3 linked regions of the Arabidopsis thaliana genome follow. The protein of the gene in region 1 interacts with the protein of each later gene in a pairwise test. Each region holds a gene or a part of one and is shown on either strand. Other genes may lie near its edges.

Region 1 (4,332 bases):
TAGATCACGACGGTCTTGAATTGTTTTCGATTGATTTTACTCTTTTTAGTACAGAATCAGAAAGCATATTGTTGTGATTCTTGGATTTTAGTTTTTGTTAATCCTTCGAGATTCTTGCTATGCGACTGCTCTACACAAATGTGCATCGTTTTGAGTCTTGTACTCGAATTAGTAAAACCAGAAATGACATACGGCACAAAGCCCATCGTTAAACGTTTCGAATTGAGCCCTTTTCTCGACTTCCTCCGAATGGGCCGTAACAATGGGCTTCAGTTGCCCTTATCTATCGTAAACTGGGCACTGTTTTGGAGAGAAATTGTTTCATATTTGTGGAATGTGCGCCGTTTTAACGTAGGAAAAGAGGGACGAACTACTCGCTGTTCAGAATCGGTAGTAGGACTTCATGTCGTTTTATAAAGGAGAGTTCCTAAAAACCTAAACCCTACTTTAGTTCTACTATATAAATCAACCGGCTTTGGCTGAGAAGAAGCCATTAGCACAATCCGAGTACCGAATCAAACCTAAGTCTCTGTAAATTTCCTCGTTTTCCGTAGATTTAGTTCTTTGTCATCCCATCTTATTAGGGTTATTCGTTTAATTTCGTTTGAATCAGTTGATACTCTCTGATTTTCCAATATGTGTTTGAATCGGCATATTAATCTTTGATCGACTCGATTTTGTGTTTTTAGAAAATAATTTAGATTTTTTTAGAGAAGGAAAAATATTCTCAGTGATGAAGAAACAATAGATGACGAGTCCGATGAAATCCATTCATAAAATCGTGGGGACAAACGAGGCATTTGTCTGAGAGGATTATTTTTCTTCGTTTTAGCATTCTAAAATATCTAGGTTTTAGGAACGTGTATAAAGGGGATTTCTCAGTGATGAAGGAACAATAGATGACGAGTCCGATGAAATCCATTCATTAAATCATGGGGACAAACGAGGCATTTGTCTGAGAGGAATCCTTTTTGTTCAATTAGTTTTGTTTTAATTAGACTTAGCAGGAAGAAGAAAGGCATGATGAGGATTGTTTTATTGTCATCTGATTCTTATTGATGAATCTATACCTCCTACTCATTCTGAGTGCCTTCTCTTGCTCTTAATTTTCAGTCACAGATATCATTGCATTAGTAGTCACTAAATTCGGATTCAATTATATTGACTCTAGGGAACACTACATTTCAAGTGAATCTACAGATACTCTAATAATATAACACAATCTGCTAAGACCAAGTGATAAACCAATTGAACTAACAAAAAAAATAAGTTTATGAAATCATAACTATTTCTTGATATTAAAAAATAACAGCAAAGATGCCAAGTTCATATAACATAAGGCCTTCAAGGAGAAACCATAACTTGTAATTTCAAACTGTATACTGGAAAGCAGACTGTGCTCAATGTGGTTTTGGATAATTCCCTGCATCCTAGTCCTGAAGTTGAAGCAAAACCTCTAGTATTGGCATTCTTACATATGATGAGTTAATTTCTGAGAGGGACGTACATTCTGATTCAGGCTCTAAAGGATCGATTAAGATTTTTAATTTATCAGGACCAAATCAGAAAAAATTTATATGATTTCTATCTGTATACTTAGAACAGCATCCATAAAAGAAAAATGTTGTTGAAGATCAATTGGACATTGGACAAAAACCTAGTGGGCCGGGCCTTCTTTGCATCTACTACTTGAAAGCCTTAAAAAAGAAAATTAATTGAAAATTAAATTTTACATTTAAGTGTTAGCATCCAAGGCCCATTAGCTCAGTTGGTTAGAGCGTCGTGCTAATAACGCGAAGGTCGCAGGTTCGAAACCTGCATGGGCCACCTTTAATGTTTTTACAACATAACAATTTTTGATTATTTTATACTATTATACAGGTCAGCACCCCTGACTGAGACAGTATCCATATCTCCACTTCAGATTTCGACACGTGGCAACAAAAAAAACCAGACACTCCGATTCCCACGAAACAAACCAATCAAAATCGTTGCCTTATCCCAATCTTATCTCAGCCCTTTTGATTATTACTCTTTAGTCTTTACTTTGCTCACAGCTTTGGATCACCAAAAAAAAAACTCAAGAGAGACTTTGTGGCCATGGCAGCCTCTCTCCAATCCACCGCTACATTCCTCCAGTCGGCGAAGATCGCCACCGCTCCTTCTCGCGGAAGTTCTCACCTCCGATCGACTCAAGCCGTCGGCAAATCTTTTGGGCTCGAAACTTCCTCGGCTCGCCTCACTTGCTCCTTCCAGTCTGACTTTAAGGACTTCACCGGTAAATGCTCCGACGCTGTCAAAATCGCCGGATTCGCTCTTGCCACCTCTGCTCTCGTCGTCTCGGTAACTTTCTTTAATCTCCGACTCTCCTTTAAAACTATAGATTAATCAAGAAAAAAAAGGAGAATTGAGTAACAGAGAAGAAGAGTATTTTGTTGTGTTTGTGATAACATGTTTATGATTTGCATTACTATGTATCGAAGTTGGCACTTGAGAACACCTAAACCAATAACAGACTCGGATAGTATAATAGAAGGAGAAACCGCTATTCCAATTCTGTAATCTTCGATTCATGTAGATACAATCTTCTTGGATCAGTGAGTTTGATTTAAAGTTGCTTGTTTCTCGTGTAATGAAAGGGAGCAAGTGCGGAGGGAGCTCCAAAGAGATTGACCTATGATGAGATTCAGAGCAAGACATACATGGAAGTGAAAGGAACTGGAACGGCTAACCAGTGCCCTACTATTGACGGTGGCTCTGAGACTTTCTCGTTCAAACCCGGAAAGTATGCAGGAAAGAAGTTCTGCTTCGAGCCTACTTCCTTCACCGTCAAGGCAGACAGTGTAAGCAAGAACGCTCCTCCAGAGTTCCAGAACACAAAGCTCATGACCCGTCTTACCTACACCCTTGACGAGATCGAAGGACCCTTCGAGGTTCGATTTCGCGTCTTTGCTTAGACTGCAAGAAAAAACTCTGCTTAGGGTTAGGGTTTGTGATTGATCGTCTCTTTAATGAGCAGGTTGCTTCAGACGGAAGCGTCAATTTCAAGGAAGAAGATGGAATCGACTATGCTGCAGTCACAGTCCAACTTCCAGGAGGTGAACGTGTGCCATTCCTTTTCACAGTCAAACAGCTTGACGCCTCAGGCAAACCAGACAGCTTCACCGGAAAATTCTTGGTTCCATCGTACCGTGGCTCTTCCTTCTTGGACCCAAAGGGCCGTGGTGGATCCACAGGATATGACAACGCCGTGGCATTGCCAGCTGGAGGCAGAGGAGACGAGGAGGAGCTTGTAAAGGAGAACGTGAAGAACACTGCCGCTTCAGTGGGAGAGATCACTCTGAAAGTGACAAAGAGCAAGCCGGAGACAGGAGAGGTGATCGGAGTGTTCGAGAGTCTTCAGCCGTCGGATACTGACTTGGGTGCTAAGGTACCAAAGGATGTGAAGATCCAAGGGGTGTGGTATGGTCAACTTGAGTGATCATGTTATTATATTTTCCGTTGATTGTGTTTGATGATAATGATAACATCTTTTGATGCTTTCTTCGTTTATCTCTCTTATATAAAATGCACATGCCTAAGATCTTGAATTTTCTGTATATCCATGTCCTTCATCGTAAAAACAGTACCGATTTTAACCTTACGGTCTATGATGAGAAAAGCATAAAAATTGTTTGTTATCGACTAAATCTGGTTTGGTTAAGACTTAAGAGTCTATTGGAAAGTTGTGAAGCACATGTTAAGCAGTTGAGGTGAGTCTCTTTGTAAAGGTGAAGATGAGTTTATATATCGTACTACTTGTTTAAACTCAATAAACTAGGCTAAGTTAGCATTTATCAGAACTATAACCAAATCGAATTTGTTGTATATATAGATTGGTACAGTTATTTATCACCAAATTTAGTCCACTTCGAACCAAGTCAAAGAAAAATAGGAAATGCACATCCTTAAGAACCTCTAATTGTCGGTTAAAAAAGACTAAGAACTGTTCAAAACTTATGATCTCAAATGGTAATAATAGAAAGAACTAGCCGTTGTTTGTTTGTTTTTGTCTCCCTTCAACCCAACCCTTTGTGTATTTTTCCTACACTATATTATCCAATGTTTGGGCCTTAAAACATGTTATCAGTCCCCAATATGATGGGCTTTCTTGTATAAGTTCCTTTTTTCTTCATCTTTTTATAAATAGATAAACCTCCATTTGACAGTAACAACAAAAATATACATGACTGGATTGCATGGTACTCCTGTGATATAGTATTTTATAAGAAATTAGTTAGATGCATCGGGTGGCGAGTAGCAAGTGGAAATAATGTTTTAATTTTTGAAAAT
Region 2 (4,782 bases), on another chromosome or scaffold:
TTAAAACTTAAATTTTAAGAAAGTAATTAATAATTTTTAACTAAAATAATGTTAATTTCACTATTATCATTTAAAAATTAGTTTAAGTATTAAAATTTTAAAACGGCGAAAACTAAACGTGTGTAGGCATGCATCCCCGTCCTTAATTGGTCCGTAAACTTTGTGGTGTTCGAAGTTCGGTAAAGCTTTCACCCAATATAGATTTGACAGTTAAACTATGTTTTAGAGAATAATAATGATGATTGATACTTGCGTTGAGAACATCTACAGAATTTATTGATAATTACAGGAGGTGATATGGCTATGATTGTTTTCACTCTTCTACCGGCAGCTCATTCTCTGTCCAAGCGACGTATCCTCCAGCAATGTCTGTGATCGCCGTGAAGCCCTGTACATGTGGCGACATTAAACCCGCTTGTCCTAAACCGGATAACGGCTATATAAATTGAAGTGATATTACACACATACAGCAGTGAGAAGATCAGTTGAGGCCATAAATGACATTTGACCGCTCTCACAACCCTGCAGAAGTAGTTTATTACGTGCATCAGAGATTTTGTGAAACAAGGGATTGTCTTCATAGGGGTTTATTTAGTCTCTGAATGTCAAAACTGAAACTTACGATTATGATTTCATCGTGTTTCCTGAAGTGGGACGAGACCTGTCTTAGAAAACTCGGGTTCTTAACCATTCCTGCAACGGTTTTGGCTTGGTGTTAGTTTTAAGTTGTTTTTCATTTTCACTCTTTCTCATAAGAGGAACCTTAAGGTCGGTGATGAAAACCTGATCCGACTCTGTACATGTAAGGTACGTTGATGGCTCTAGTCGGATGTCCGATGCTGAATTCGTCTGGTGTCCTCACGTCGAGATAGCGGTATCCTGCTTGAGCTAGCTCACGCGCCACTCTTACTGGTACTGACGTAGGAATTTTAACTGCCTCTGCTGCAACATTTCCTCTGCTTGTTGTCGTTGCTTTCCTCCTTGAGCAAGAAGTTAATACTCAGATTTAATATTTATTCATAATCTAAAATCAGATAGAGAAGGCGATTCTCGTCGTTGATTGCTAGCTTACCATCGGAAGTTTGAGTTTCGAAGATCAGCTACAATAACACCTCTTCGTGTTGGTAATTGGCACTTGAAAGATCCACATGTTTGTAGAGGTGGAGAAATAGCCGATGACCAGTTTCCAATTCGTGATGTTGTGTTAAAAGCAGTGGTTTCCATTTTCACTTCTTCTTTGAAACTTCTTTTAGAATGCTTTGATGCTACTTAGATACTTCTTCTCTTAGTTCTATAGCGTTTATATAATACATACAGACACAAAGGTATGGGTGTCACGTCAGCAAGTTTTATGTCCGATCTTCGAGTCTCTATCATTTCTATGGATAAATTCAATTATGTACCAAAGTCGATTCCAAAATGTAAACAATGCGTAGATAATGAATCATGATAAGTCCAACTCGGTGCCTCGTGAGTCGTGTTGAAGAGGATAACTTGCTGACTCGGACGGATAAGAAGACCGTAAGGCCCAATTGTGATAAACTAATTATGGATCCAAATTATCGTATTTGGGCCTCGTTTAGGCCCAATATTGAAACAAGTGGCTGAGATAGTGGAGCGGAGGAGAGAAGATGATGAAGTTAACAATGGTGGAATAGCGATTCTTCGACGACGATGATGGCGAGGTTTGTTTCTGTGTCGTCTTGTCAGTTTCATTTCGGCTTCCGTGAGGTTTCTCCTCCGTCGGTAACTTCTTATCCTAGACGATTCGAGGTAAATTCTTGTCATGTGTTTTCTTCAGTGACAGTAGTGTGTGATCGGTCATTTGAAGTCAGATGTTCTGAATTAGGTCTCTGATCGGAGATTTCCTGCGATTCCGATTAAATGTTCTTCATCTGAGCCGGAAAACGGTGAGGATTCGGCACCGTCGCTGTCTTCCTCCTCCTCATCGTCTACAAGTGAAGTATCTACTAGTAACAGTTCGACATACAACTGGTACACCGGAATCGGCGGTATTGGGATGTTAGACACTGCGTATTTGACTTACCTCAAGGTCACTGGCTCCGATGCGTTTTGCCCTATTGGTGGTGGCACTTGCGGTGATGTCCTCAACAGCGATTATGCCGTCGTTTTCGGTATTATCCATCGCTTTATTGATTATAGCGTTTGATTTATGTAGCTAATTGTCCTCTCTTTTATAGTAGGCATGATTAAATACTCGCATGTGATAGTCTCTGTGAATCTTTGCTTGAAGCTATATCATTTAGGAGCTTTGGTACTTAGTATGCATAGAATTGTTAGAGTTAAATAGCATGCTTCACTCCACTCTATGTAGTGCTTTGTCTTCGTTGTTTGTCCAACATTGCATTGCAGGTAAGTTGAACTCAATGAAAATCCTTTTTTACATTTTGCCAGGTGTTCCTCTTCCAGTGATTGGATTTGTTATGTATGGCGTAGTAACCGCTCTAAGTGCAGAGCTTGGGGAAGGGAATCTACCTTTTGGAATCAGTAAGAGCAATGGGCGTTTCGCGTTATTTGGGATCACGACTGCAATGGCATCTGCTAGTGCATATTTCCTGTATATCCTTAGCACAAAACTCTCAGGATCATCATGCCTGTATTGTCTGGTGTCTGCTTTCTTATCATTTAGTCTATTTTTCCTCTCTGTAAAGGTATCCCTTTATTTCCATTTCTTTTTTTTTCCTGATGTTGACTCAAGATAACTTCTAAACTTCGGATTATGATAATGTGCTCCATGCATGTGGTAGGATGTGAAGTTGCAAGAAATACAGCAAGTTGTAGGATTGCAGATATGCTTAGCAATCATAGTAGTTGCCTCCTTGACTGCTTCTTACAGTACTGCTCAACCAATCCCTTCACGGTAATCAAAGTTCATAGTTTTCTTTGGGGAGTCCCGATAGAAATTTTAGTCATTTGTAACGAGTAGTGAACAAATAGCTTCCGAAAGATGTATGAGTCTTATCAGGTGGTCTCTTTTAATCCCGATCGTTTTTTGTTTCACTCCTTCCAGCTCTGGTGACATTGAACTGCCATATTTTAGAACAGAGATCAGTTCATCATCGAGCCCTTATGCTATTGCTTTAGCAAAACATCTAAACTCCATTGGAGCTAAAATGTATGGGGCATTCTGGTGTTCTCACTGCTTAGAGCAAAAAGAGGTAGTTAGTTCATTCATCACCTGTTTGCCAAGAATCAGTTTTATGCTTTTATTATATGTTCATTATAGTTCCATCCATCTACAGATGTTTGGAAGAGAAGCGGCAAAAGAACTGAACTACGTGGAATGTTTTCCGGATGGATATAAGAAAGGAACTAAGATACTCAAGGCATGTGCAGATGCTGCGATCGAAGGATTCCCAACATGGATAATAAATGATAAGGTGAGTAAATCCTCTGAACCCCTTGTACATTTCATCACATGTCAGTACCTATTTCACCTCTTTTATAAATTAGGTCTTAAGCGGAGAAATAGAACTCGCTGAACTAGCGGAGATGACTGGATTCAGCCTTGATCAGGCAAATGAGACCAATCAACTTCAGTAAATTTTGTATTGGTGCAGAAAATATTAAGGTGAATCCGTAAATGTTGTTTACTTGATCCTCCTGATAGCTATAGGGTGTTCTATACAAATTCAAGTAATGAAAGTGCTTATTGTTGCCATAGGAGGTTACAACTTCATCTGTATCACTTAGCCTACACCAGAGCATCACTATTTTATAATTGAAAGATTCATAGGTTCTTCCAAAGAATGTTAGGGTACTATTAATTCGAGAATCTACAGCCATCTAGTACTGGCTTTATGTAAGTATAATGTCTAAAAGTATGGTCTATATAAGAGAGTCACACATGTATTTTGTATATATATGCGTGTAGAGTAGTAGCAGATATATGATGTATGGGAAACTTAGAGAATTACGTTTACAATATTTGGTGCCCTATTGAATACCTTCCTTGAATGTGCCTCCTCGGTATTTTTCTATTGTAATGATCCATCCACAAGTTTCGCTGTTATTATCCGTTTAATATGCAGAAGATAATGTTTTTCCTTATATTTTTTAAAAGATTCCATTGGGCATTGGATAGATATGAACATAGAGATCTTTATAATCTTTAATAATTTGTAAGCTCAGATTAGTTTAACTCAACATCGGATGGGATGATCCAAAATAACGCCCATCTTATCCAATAATCTACATGAATCATGTGATGAGACGTAACGCTTAAGGCGGGGGGCGGGAAAAGAGTCAAAAAAGGCAGTAGCCGTTAGATGTAGCAAAAACGGATGGACCAGATTAGTTGCTTAACAACGAAAGATCAAGAGAGGGCGAAAAAGGTAATAATTATTGGAATGTAGGACCCACAAAGAGGTGAGGAAGATCATGATAAAAAGGAAGATGCTATAGAATATTCGTAAGAGCCCGTCGTTTCTCCCATTACCCTCCAATTAATACACTATTTTTTTTATTTTTTTGTCTTTCCCTTTTTAAAATGATCATCATCTTCTTCTTCACTCGCCTCAATTTTTGTTCCCTTCTTCTTCTATAATTCAACTGTGAATTTCACCGACGAAACAAAAAAGAGAGAGAGAGAGAGAGAAACGATGAGTTCTCAGATTTCGGAGATTGAACAAGAGCAGCTGATCGAGAAGCTTGAGATCTTCAAGATCCATGGCAGAGACAAACGTGGCCGTAAGATCCTTCGTATTATCGGAAAATTCTTCCCAGGTACTGATATATCAATCGGATCTGTTTCTTTTTCTC
Region 3 (3,267 bases), on another chromosome or scaffold:
TGAAAATCAATCAGAAAACCTCAAACATCTCATAATGACACATTAAAAACAGAAACTTTCTACCTTAATTATACACATTAGGAAACCAATAATGATCAAATCCAAAAGCAGAGCAATAATTACAAAACCTCAACTTAAATTGATCATTCAATACACAAAATAAACCTAACTGATCCACAAATCAAGTTGAAGAGAAACGAATCTTACGAGAGATGAGTGTCGAACCAGTGACCTCTTATTACACGGCGCCAACGATCGCTCGCCGTCGAAGGTTTGCCTGTAAACGGCAGCAGCGGCGGAGGAAGAAGAGAAGGAGAGTGGATTCGGCGGTTTACCGCCGTAACTCGAACTCCCATTCTCTGGATCAGAAATTCCTCTAGTTTCTTCCATATTGAAACATCATCGTATAAAAATTCAATAAGCAATTATGGAAACAGCTGACGAGTCAACTCACGAGTGAGCGAGTCGATTAAAAACGATTTAACGAAGAATGTAGCTTTAGATGAGAGATTCGTAAACAATGGATTCAGAATCGAAAACAAAATTGAAGAGATTGTTGAAAGGTTACACGAATTTCAGGGTTTAAGAGAAAATTAGGGTTTTGTGGAAGAAATTGGAACACGCAGAAAGAGAGAGATAATAAAACTGTTCGCCGGCGGAGGCGAGAAATATGAGTCCGACGGTTATTTAAAAGGCAAAAAGAAAAAGGAAAAAGGAAAAAGGAAGCTTAACATAAACACGAAACGTCGGCGTATTATTTACTTTTTCTCTTTGCTTTTTTTTTTCCTTTTTGTTTTTGAAGTGAGAGATTTTTTTTCTTATTAAAAAAGGGATATATTTACAGTTTATATGAGAAGTAAACATAGTATTTTGAAAAATAGCAAGAAAGGAAATCTGAAATTTTAGACTAATAGCAAAAAGATTTTGAGTTAAGTTGACAAAATTGAATTTTAGTAACTTGGGACCTTTTTTACATCTTTTTTATATAAAAAAAGTCGACACATGAGATATTACTTATAAAATTAAAAATACATTATTTTCATGAATATTTAATAGAGTTTATGAATTTCTCACATATGTTAATTATTAAGTGCTGAAAAATGTTTAATTGTTTTTCTGTATAAATGTTAAGTACTGAAAAATGCTTGGAATGTTTTTCTATATTTATATCTCTGCTATTTATATGTGTGATTTAGTGTTATTTAGGGCATTAAATATAAGATATTAAAATATTAAATTTTTCTATAATTTAAAAATAAGTAAATAAACATGTTGTAGACCGTAATTGCCAGATTATTTGTGCTGTTTCCTAAATACTTTTACATTCTTTGATGGTCACCAAATTAACTATAAGAAAAATTAGGACTCAGTCTCATTAATTTTTCGGAAGAGAAAAAGAATCAGTCTCATGGTAGTTGTTAGGAAATATTTGAATATTGTTTCGCCATTAGAAACTTTTTATGTGGATTTTTTTCCTGAAAACGATGGTTACTATTAATTAAACGGACCGACAAGAACCTTGTTGACGTGGTAACAAGTGATGACACATGCTAATTGGCCATCATTGTCAAATAATTTGTTCGCAAGGCGTGATACGTGTACGTTGTTATTCAGACGTAGCAAACAGATTCACGACTTTTGTTCAATTTGTCTTTGTATGGAGTATGGACCTAACATCTCCAACGGACCAATGCTATTGGGTCAAGTCCATCTTTTCTAGGTTAAGTTCATTCTTTGGGCTTTAGTTAAGTATAGAGAAAGAACATATTGGAAGAAAAATTTAGATGTGGTTTGTATTGCATGCGCATATGAAATGTAATAATTTGAGGATACATATATAGTAAGAAAAAATGAGTGACCCAAGTAAGAATGGGTTAGTAGTTATATATATGTTGGAGGTGAAAGGAATAAAATAAAATTTGTTCTAGGTGGATTCTTAAGAAAAAGAAGGAAACGAAAACAGAGGAATAACAATGGCAGGGAGAATAAGCTGCTGTCTAAATCTTCCTCCCCTAGATTCAAATTCTGCACAATCATTAGCTTCACTGCTCAAGACAACGTCAAAGATCTCTTGGTATCTCTTCTATTCATGAAAAGTTATTATTTACCTGATAATTTTTCATATCAATGATCTTTGTTCTTTTATTGTTTAGTAGGAGAACAGAAAATGAGACAGAGCCACGGAAAAACAAGTGTTCTTTTGTCTTGGGGGTGGCGGCAACTGTCGTAATCGGCGGGATTCAGATCAATGATGTTGCATCAGTGGAAGCTGCGGTTGTGAAATCGCCGGTAGAAGAGATGGCTGCGGGTGTGGTGCCGCCGCGGAGGTGGAGTGACAAGAGGACGTGTCCGCCTTGGCTTGAGAACTCGCTAGAGACCATCGTACCGGAGAATCTTCCTCGTCCGTCTGCTCATCGACGTTTGGAGTTAGCCGGATTAGCTAAGGGTGATGCACCGCCGGTCGGTGTGGTGATGACACGTGTCAACAGGGGTGGTTGTTTCTCCGTGTAAATTGGAAGTTCATTACGTGTAAGGGAGATTGTTAGGCAGGTGTAAAAAAAGTCAATTAGAAACAAATAATACACACAAAAACTATTGTAGATATATTAAATTTTAAGTATTTGTTTGTGTAGTTACTGATGACAAAACATTGAACCAAACTGGTCTTTAATTCATGCAAAATTTTCTTTGAGGATGCCATTTTTGATTTTTGGTTTAAATCGAACCGTATAAAAATAATTAACTCATTAAATTCATTGAGATCTTTATGTGCACGATTAGTTTTGGTCCGTCCTTTTTTTCTTTGTTTTGTAATCTTGTATCCTACCAAATTTTGGGAGTTTTCAGCTTTGTGTGTTAAAGTAGTACTCTATTGGATGTGAAATGAAAGAAAAGTAGTACATGCGTGTAGTACAAAAGAAAAACACTCCAAGTACTTCCTACTGAAATGAGTTGGCCTATTATCGATCCAAAGTGAAGCCCAACTCTATGTCACTCCAACGATTAGTTTGATTTCGGCCTCGTATTTCAAAGTTTAACTACAACTCTACAAATTTCACTTCCATGTCGGACCTTCAATAATTTAATTTCTTGATGCTCATGTTCTTTGCTTTTACAAGAATGGTGAGAGAATAAAGGGAGATTAGCCTTAGCGAGAGAGAAAAGACTCGTAGCATGAAGAGAAGAAGAAGAAAAAATTGGTTTTGCAATAAGAGACCTACGTTAACAAGAAAATGGACACAGCTTGATCATCTTATGCAAATCCAC

Evidence for each region.
Region 2: the proteins of PSBO1 (region 1) and LTO1 interact in a two-hybrid assay, tested with the Arabidopsis thaliana proteins (one study listed by BioGRID).
Region 3: the proteins of PSBO1 (region 1) and AT2G25625 interact in a protein complementation assay, tested with the Arabidopsis thaliana proteins (one study listed by BioGRID).

What each region holds. Positions count from the first base shown.
Region 1 is NC_003076.8:26,566,644-26,570,975, forward strand, and holds PSBO1 (PS II oxygen-evolving complex 1), read left to right. Parts: upstream 1-1,928; 5' UTR 1,929-2,100; coding exon 2,101-2,343; intron 2,344-2,639; coding exon 2,640-2,933; intron 2,934-3,019; coding exon 3,020-3,481; 3' UTR 3,482-3,818; downstream 3,819-4,332. Other genes in the region: AT5G66560 (Phototropic-responsive NPH3 family protein), read left to right, coding at 1-19.
Region 2 is NC_003075.7:16,941,515-16,946,296, reverse strand, and holds LTO1 (NAD(P)H dehydrogenase (quinone)s), read left to right. Parts: upstream 1-1,619; 5' UTR 1,620-1,674; coding exon 1,675-1,773; intron 1,774-1,849; coding exon 1,850-2,135; intron 2,136-2,415; coding exon 2,416-2,672; intron 2,673-2,768; coding exon 2,769-2,881; intron 2,882-3,031; coding exon 3,032-3,179; intron 3,180-3,263; coding exon 3,264-3,503; coding exon of another isoform or gene 3,504-3,564; 3' UTR 3,565-4,266; downstream 4,267-4,782. Other genes in the region: SEN1 (Rhodanese/Cell cycle control phosphatase superfamily protein), read right to left, coding at 314-388, 469-522, 623-693, 784-980, 1,073-1,224; AT4G35750 (SEC14 cytosolic factor family protein / phosphoglyceride transfer family protein), read left to right, coding at 4,623-4,746. UniProt on the Arabidopsis thaliana protein: Thiol-disulfide oxidoreductase catalyzing disulfide bond formation of chloroplast proteins and involved in redox regulation and photosynthetic electron transport.
Region 3 is NC_003071.7:10,904,589-10,907,855, forward strand, and holds AT2G25625 (histone deacetylase-like protein), read left to right. Parts: upstream 1-1,626; 5' UTR 1,627-1,973; coding exon 1,974-2,074; intron 2,075-2,153; coding exon 2,154-2,511; 3' UTR 2,512-2,762; downstream 2,763-3,267. Other genes in the region: DBP1 (DNA-binding protein phosphatase 1), read right to left, coding at 208-390. UniProt on the Arabidopsis thaliana protein: Triggers stress-induced chloroplast degradation, independently of autophagy and senescence-associated vacuoles.